2 linked regions of the Macaca fascicularis genome follow. Each later gene encodes a partner of the first gene's protein in a complex. Links are inferred from orthologs where the notes say so. Each region holds a gene or a part of one and is shown in the gene's direction. Other genes may lie near its edges. The genes, in order: PAK1 and DCP1A.

Region 1 (3,815 bases):
ATTTATAATTGCAATATAATGTGAAAACCACGGCAGGTAGAACATTTTGTTCAAAGGTGTAAAGACCAGTAGACCAGAAAAACAGGCTATGTTATGGGTGGATGGGCAGTTTATGGAAGGACTGCTAGCAGCCCTGGGCCTGGGGCATAAAAACAGGGCCATGCTTAGTCATAGGTGACTGGGGTTTAAATCAAGGACTCGTGCCCAAGAAATAAGGCAAGGACCTCGTTGCCATATTTGAGAATATGAGAATGGTTTTTCAAGAACAAAGCAAAACTGGGACAAGCAATCGAGACCAAAATGGGCAGCTTGGACTTTAACACTAAGTCCCCTGGTTTAAGGAGAGATAGGAGGCCAGAGATGGTGTTTCTTATATTCCTCCTATTTCTCTTCAGGGTTCAATAGGAAATAGGCTAGGAGCTAGACATGAAGGTGGCAGTCAAGTGACTTTGGAGAGACAAAGGATAGCAGAGCTGGAAGCCAGGCAGATCTTGTCACCTACGTGTAGGCACACAGTCAACACTTACTGAAGTGAGTGTATATCCTAAATGTATGTTCTTTCTCTTATTTTTCTTTTCTAGCTGATTTTGGATTCTGTGCACAGATAACCCCAGAGCAGAGCAAACGGAGCACCATGGTGGGAACCCCATACTGGATGGCACCAGAGGTTGTGACACGAAAGGCCTATGGGCCCAAGGTTGACATCTGGTCCCTGGGCATCATGGCCATCGAAATGATTGAAGGGGAGCCTCCATACCTCAATGAAAACCCTCTGAGAGTGAGTGTTACCATTCCTATTTCAATTTATTTGGGCTGTTGTCTCTAGTCCCAGGAAATAAGAATCCAGGCTATTCTCTATGGCTTTCAACCTGGAGATCCCTTTTCTGGATACAACTAGTCACTGTTGAACTTAAAATATAAATGGTCAAAGAAAAGGAATATTAGAAGTCACTCATTCATTTATTCAACAACTATCTGAGTCCCTTTCAAGTGCAAGAAACTATTCTAATGAAAATAAAATAAATTAATATGTAGTAACAGATGGTAAATGCTGTGAGAAAAAGCAAAGTAAGGAAGTTAAGAGAGTAATGGAGGAAGAGGTGTGCTATTTTAGAGCAGAGAGGGAAGTTCTCTCTCGTAAGTTATTTTATTCTGCAGAGTTGGGAAGTCATTAGAGGGTTTTGAGCTGAGGAGTAATGTGATCTGATTTATGTTTTAAACAGATCATTTTGGCCGCTTTTATGGAAAATAGATTGCGAGAGACTGTTGTAATAGTTCAGAGTGGTGGTGTCTTGGTAGGAGTGGAAGTGAGAAGTGCTCAGACTCAGGAAATGTCTTGAAGGACTAGCTGACAGGATGAACTGAATATTAGAGAAAGAGGAATCAGCAATTACTACACGATTTTTGGTCTGAATTGCTGAAAAAATTCAGTTGCCATCTGTTGAAATGGTGAAGACCATACTTAAGTTGGGTAATTAAGAGTTGGTTTTGAATGTGCTGATTTGAAGTGTTAATTAGACATTTAAGTGGAGCTGGGAGTAGAGTTTGGCTTAAGAGTCTAGAGTTCAAGGGTGAGGGGTCAGGACAATAATCATAAATTTATTAGTAGATAATATATAGTTGGTATTTAAAATCAGAGGTAGATGAGATCACTCACCTAGAGAATGAGTACTGTTAAAGAAAAGAGATTTGAGTACTGAGCTCTAGGTTATTCCACTGTTTACAGGTTGGAGGAACTAGCAAAGTAGACCAAGGAATGGCCTTTCTAGTGTGAGAGAACAGAGAAGTATCTTGGAGGTGAAGTGTCCTGGAGATGAATAGAACAGTGTGCTTCCTGAAGGAGGAGGAGGGTAGATTATGTGTCAAATGTGATTGATAGGTTAAGATGAAACTGAGAAATGAACATTGGATTTGCCAATGTAGAGGTTCTTAATGACCTTAACAATCAGTTGTCAGTAGAGAGATGGGGATGAAAGTCTAATTAAATTCATGAAAGTGGAAGAAGAGGACGTTGAGATGGCATGTATAAACAGGTTTTTTTTCTCTTAAAGGAATTTTGCTGGGAAGGGTAACAAAAATGGAACACTCTCTTAAAATGGAGTCAAGGGAGGGTTTTTCTAAAAGATGTCTGTGTGCTAATGGGAATGATTTAGTGGAGAGGAGGAAAATGGTCATGTACAAAAAGGAAGTGACAACATAGAAGTGATATCCTTAAGTCGATGAGAGGGGTTCGATCAAGTACTGAAGTAAAGGACATTAGATTAGCATGGACAATTTATCCCTTGTAACAGAGCATATCAACACAGATGCAAATAGGTTGGTAATCTTTGTGTGGGCAAATGTGAAATTTATTCTGATTGCTTTTATTTTCTCATTTATTCCCACCTCCCATCTAGTGCAGGAGTTCCCTGTGCACTGTTGCTGGTAGGTGGTCATCTACATGCTCATGTCATCCTTGGATATCTCTGATTATTGGAAATTGCTTCAGTGCACCAAACTGAAACTACCTTCTGTAGTTTCTATTCTTTGGTCCCAGCTTTGCCTCTGACTCCACATGCAACATATTCTTCCCTGCCTTAGAATGGCCTTGCAGAGATTTGAAGATAATAATTGCTGGGATATGTTGGAAACAAGACAGAGTGATCCTAGACACACACACACACACACACATATTTTTTTTTTGAGACAGAGTCTCACTCTGTCACCCAGGCTAGAGTGCAATGGTGTGATTTCAGCTCACTGCAACTTCCACCTTCCAGGCTCAAGCGATTATCCTGCCTCAGCCTCCTGAGTAGCTGGGATTACAGGCATCTTCCACCATGCCCAGCTAAGTTTTGTACTTTTAGTAGAGACCAGATTTCGCCATATTGATCAGGTTGGTCTTGATGGTCTCGAACTTCTGACCTCAGGTGATCCACCCACCTCAGCCTCCCAAAGTGCTGGGATTACAGGAGTGAGCCACCACGCCCGGCCCTAGACATATCTTTTTATGTTTCTGTACCTTATTTGTGAAGTGAGGATGATAATTCTTGCCCAGAGTTAATTGTGGCCATTAAATTAGTGCTTATGTAAGTACTCTTTGAATTAAGTGCTGACTGATTGTAAAGATTTGGTCTTACTGTGTTTTTCTTTACCTTTCCCAGGAGATGCTTCATTTAGGGGACCAAGGTGGCAACAGTTTTCACTTATATTTAATATTCCTTTCCTGCTAGAAGAGATCAGTTCTTGGATGACTGAGGTGAAGGCACCAGGAATAATTTCTGCCAGTAGCTGGGCAGATGTTTCAACAGGCTAAATGGATAATAAACCCTTCAGATGTGTAAGCAAGAATAATAATAAAGCCGGGCATAGTGGCTCACATCTGTAATCCCAGTACTTTGGGAGGTTGAGGCAGGCGGATCACTTGAGTCTAGGAGTTCGAGACCAGCCTGGCCAACATGGTGAAACCCTGTCTCTACTAAAAATACAAAAAGTAGCCGAGTGTAGTGGTGGGCACCTGTAATCCCAGCTACTTGCGAGGCTGAGGCAGGAGAATCGCTTGAAGCCTGGAGGTTACAGTGAGCCAAGATCTTACCACTACACTCCAGCCTGGGCGACAGAGCGAGACTCTGTCTCAAAAAAAAAAAATAATAATAATAATAATAATAATAAACCCTTAGGTCTGTAACATATTTCGTAAGTTTACAAAGTACTTTCAAATACACTATCTTATTTTTACAGATATGTGAGATGGGCATTATCATCATCCTTACTTTACAGATAGGGAAGTTGCACATAGTCTCATGGCCTTTAAATGTTCAGCCTGATCCTTAGGT
Region 2 (4,328 bases), on another chromosome or scaffold:
CAAGAGAATCGCTTAAACCCGGGAGGCAGAGATTGCAGTGAGCTGAGATCGCGCCACTGCACTCCAGTCTGGGTGACAGAGCAAAACTCCATTTCAAAAAAAGAAAAGAGCACTTTGGGAGGCTGAAGCGGGCGGATCACCTGAGGTCAGGAGTTCAAGACCTGCCTGGCCAACGTCATGAAACCCCATTTCTACTAAAAAAAAAAAAAAAAAAAAGGAAAGAAAAAATTAGCCAGGTGTGGTGGCGGGCGCCTGTAATTCCAGCTAAATGGGAGGCTGAGGCAGGAGAATCGCTTGAAACCTGGAGGCAGAAGTTGTAGTGAGCTTGAGATTGCGCCACTGCACTCCTGCCTGCGCGACAGAGCAAGACTCCGTTTCAAAAAGTAACAAAGAAAAGGGCCAGGCGCGGTGGCTCAAGCCCGTAATCTCAGCACTTTGGAAGGCCAAGGCGGGTGGATCACCTGAGGTCAGGAATTCGAGACTAGCCTGGCCAACATGGCGAAATCCCGTCTCTACTAAAAACAAAAATTATCAGGGCATGGTGGCGTGCCCCTGTAATCCCAGCTACTCGGGACGCTGAGACAGGAGAATCGCTTGAATCTTCGAGGCGGAGGTTGCAGTGAGTCGAGATCGCGCCACTGCACTCCAGCCTGGGCGATAAGAGCGAAACTCCCTCTCAAAAAAAAAAAAAAAAAAAAAAGGACAGAAATACAGAAAAAGAAAAAAAAATCCACTTGTACCTTCTGCTAATCAGTGTATATTCAGGGTAACTTGAATCTATGCTCCTGGGTTGCAATCCTCAAGCTTGGCCCAAATAAACTCTCTGCTTGCATTAACTTTGCCCCATCTTCTTTCTTTTAGGTCGATATATCCATACCTAAGATCTAGGGTAATTTTCTAGGCTTCTCGCCTCTCCCTTTCTTCCATGCTTTTCTGTGCTTTCTAAACGGGCCCAGTAGAGTTCTGCATTTCCACATTCCACAGAGGTGTTTTCCTTCTGTGGCCCCGGGCCCTGCCAGACAGCGAACCGCGAAGCCGGAACTTCGGCGGTCTCCAGCCTTTGCCTGGAAAGAGCTCGGCAAGCTAGCTAGAGATTAGATCCCAGGACCTAGTCGTTTTAGCTCAGGGAAGGGAAGCGCCGGACGCCAGCCTGCAAGCTCCACTGCGCAGCCGTGGACACCGCCCCACGTCGTAGGGCAGTGGACCCTGACAACGCCGGAACCCGGCGCCCGGTGCGTGCGCTTGGCGGACCAGAATGGCTAACGTACCGCCATGCCGCGAGGCCCACGTAGAGGCGGAAGTTGATGGGACTGACGCAGATGGGGGAACCTTGCCTCGATGGCACTTTCCTGTCCGCGACTCCGCCCCCGCCAGAGGGGCTAGGTTCCGGGATTCAAGATGGAGGCGCTGAGTCGAGCTGGGCAGGAGATGAGCCTGGCGGCCCTGAAGCAACACGACCCTTACATCACCAGCATCGCAGACCTCACGGGCCAGGTTGCTCTGTACACCTTCTGCCCCAAGGCCAACCAGTGGGTGAGTGCCGCCTGGCTCTGAGGACGGCCGCCCGGCCGCTGCGGTCTCTTAAAGGGGCCGCGCGGGTTGCTGTGGGGTGGGGGACACAGCAAGAGGCCAGGGAGGTGAAGACGGGGCCAGGGACTGGCGAAGAGCCGAGCCAGAGCCTGAGGGGTGTCGGGTCCACCTGAGATTGGGGGATAGGAGTGAGAGAAGTGGCTCGAGACATCCCAAGAAAAAGCCAGTGGAGGGGAGGATTGGAGCAGGATCAGTCCCTTGGCGTCGGGTCTGGGGACGTGGGCGACCTGCCTTCTTTGCAGATACATTGGGAGTTATGAGACCGGTGGGGTCAAAAGAGTGCCTGAAAGCTTGTGTTTGAGGCTTTGCGGATTATTAGATAAATTACATGTACATTGTCTATAAAATAAACACTCCTTCTCTCCCCCGGCAGACGTAAATGAGAGCCCCTTTCGCAGAGGTCATTTGGATTTAAAGCTTAAAATCCAATTAGTTTCGATTCTTGGAAGGGGGAGTGCGGTGGGTCTGGCTTTAATCGAACTACACAGTTTCGGAAAAGATTTCAAGGCACTTAGGAAAAGGGCTTCCATGTTCACTGGATCCCCGAAGACCTTTGTACAAACAAGAGAGACCCTGTAAATGTGTTTTGTTCCACCTATGATGCTGGTGATGTCATCTCTGAATGTTCCCCTCAGACTCAGTACTTTCTGGCTTTCGTGCACTGGAGAGGGTCCGAAAAGTTACATTCAGTCTGTTCACTGATTCTTGTTAGCCCCTGCTTGAAGCTTTGTTAGTTGTTTAAAAACAACTAGCATAATTTCCCACTTTCTTGTAATTGACCCTTCCTAATTAACTCATTCGGTTACAGGCTTTACACTTAGAAAATAGTATGTAAATGTTTGTTGGATTGAATTCACCAATGACTGGAGTTCTCATTTCAATAAGATGTGAAATCCTTAAACTAACAACTCTGGAAGATGACTGTAGTATGTCGTTTACCCTATAATACAGATGCGTAGATTATTTTTATTAGTAATTTATCGAAAATCATTTGGCATTTATGAACAGTTAATTCAGATGAAGAGAGTTTTTATAATCACTTTGTTTATCTTTGCCTCCTGGAAGAGAAGGAGGTATGGGAAGCCACAAGGAATAAAATTGTAGATTGTTTTTTAAATGTAGCTATTTTAGACATTGCCTTAGTTTGAAATTTTATGAATCTTTTTTCTTTTCTTGGCATATATGTAAATTTGTGAAATATGGATTGCAGACCAAGGGTGAAGACTTGGGGCTAGGACTTTTTACTAAAGAGTTTTTCTAGTTTTTCACAAAGGCTTTCAATATTTTAAAATTTTACATTGGGGAGTTCTGTTTTAAATAAGAAATACAAGCTATAATAACCTGAATTGAAAAATAAGCTGCTACCATTTATTTGGATCCTGGCACGTAGAGCATAACAAAAATCTTTTCTCTCTTTGTTGTTATTTTTACAGTGAGTTGTAACTTTACATGATGTTTTCTGGTGGGCAAGTTTTCTTTTACTGTAAGACAGTTGATTACCAATTTCTTATAGTAATAACCTAACGTTTTAAAGGTAAGAAAAAGCCTCTGAATCCTTAGGAAGGAAAATAATGATATTTAAGCTAGGGTAGTACTTCTGGAAGAAATCAAGATGATCAATTTTCTAAATTTTTTAATCCCAGCACATTCAATATATGACCAACATTTAAAATGTTAATAATGTGTTGATTACAGTAAAATATTTAGGTCCATTGTAGGCTGTAAATTGCAGACTAATAAGCTTATTTATTTTTTAAAAAACACTGAACTGTGTTTAAAACCTAAATACTCTTGTCACAGAAAATGACCTATGGTAAAGGCCTGTAATAATTACTGTGAGGCAGGGTATACTTTCAGTATTCATGATTCTTCAAGTTCTAAAAATAACAAGCTGGTTTTGTTTGGTAGGAATTCTTAACCACAAAATTTACTAGTTGTGAAAATGTACGAAAACTCCCCAGTGATGAAACAAAGTATCCTGTAAAAAAATTTCATTCCTTTCCTTTTTTAAAATTAACTTGGATAAACTTTAAAAGAGAAAAAATTGCAGTATACAGGACCTTAGCCTTGAAGTTAAGAAATCTGGCTAAAACATTTTAGCTATAAAAAGTGAAGGTTTATTCTATGATTTTCTCCTTTACTAATTAAAAAAGAAAAATGCTGCAGATACAGATATGTTGCTGGATTAAACATTGCGTATGCTTATGTATGCATCAGTAGCACTGAAAGCATACATTAGAAATGGTAACCACAATTTGTGGAATGAGAGGGAGACTTTATCTGTTCCAAAGTGGTTAATTTTATAATAAATGAAATGAAACAATTTGATCTTAAACGTGAAGCATTACTTCTCCATTGGGACTGTTTGGGGTCTGATTATGGGGAAAAAAAACTAATGGACTCATTGTCTTTCATAGGAGAAAACTGATATAGAAGGGACCTTATTTGTATATCGAAGGTAAGTTTTTAAAATATGTGTATTTGTTTTTAACAGTTTAATGGTGAACAATGTCAAACGGTTCAATTCTGTTGTACATTTGTCTTTGGAACCTTCCTGCTAGTCCCCTTCAAGTTTTCATCTTTCCCTAGCTGTGAAATCTTAACCAGGTTCTTTCTTTTCTCTGAGCCTTTCTGTGATTCAGAATAAACTGAACTAGAATTTATGTTAAAAGTCTAGCAAAGCAATTTCAAAATAATAATGATTGAGTCTAAAACAGATACCTGCCTCTCTCTCTCCC

The links.
Region 2: PAK1 (region 1) and DCP1A share a complex: the UniProt entries of both Homo sapiens proteins name them as parts of the cytoplasmic complex. The link is inferred for Macaca fascicularis from reciprocal best matches to the Homo sapiens genes PAK1 and DCP1A.

What each region holds. Positions count from the first base shown.
Region 1 is NC_088388.1:76,217,543-76,221,357, reverse strand, and holds part of PAK1 (serine/threonine-protein kinase PAK 1), read left to right. Parts: intron 1-581; coding exon 582-778; intron 779-3,815. UniProt on the Homo sapiens protein: Protein kinase involved in intracellular signaling pathways downstream of integrins and receptor-type kinases that plays an important role in cytoskeleton dynamics, in cell adhesion, migration, proliferation, apoptosis, mitosis, and in vesicle-mediated transport processes.
Region 2 is NC_088376.1:116,474,371-116,478,698, reverse strand, and holds the start of DCP1A (mRNA-decapping enzyme 1A), read left to right. Parts: upstream 1-1,372; 5' UTR 1,373-1,398; coding exon 1,399-1,533; intron 1,534-4,007; coding exon 4,008-4,048; intron 4,049-4,328. UniProt on the Homo sapiens protein: Necessary for the degradation of mRNAs, both in normal mRNA turnover and in nonsense-mediated mRNA decay. Removes the 7-methyl guanine cap structure from mRNA molecules, yielding a 5'-phosphorylated mRNA fragment and 7m-GDP.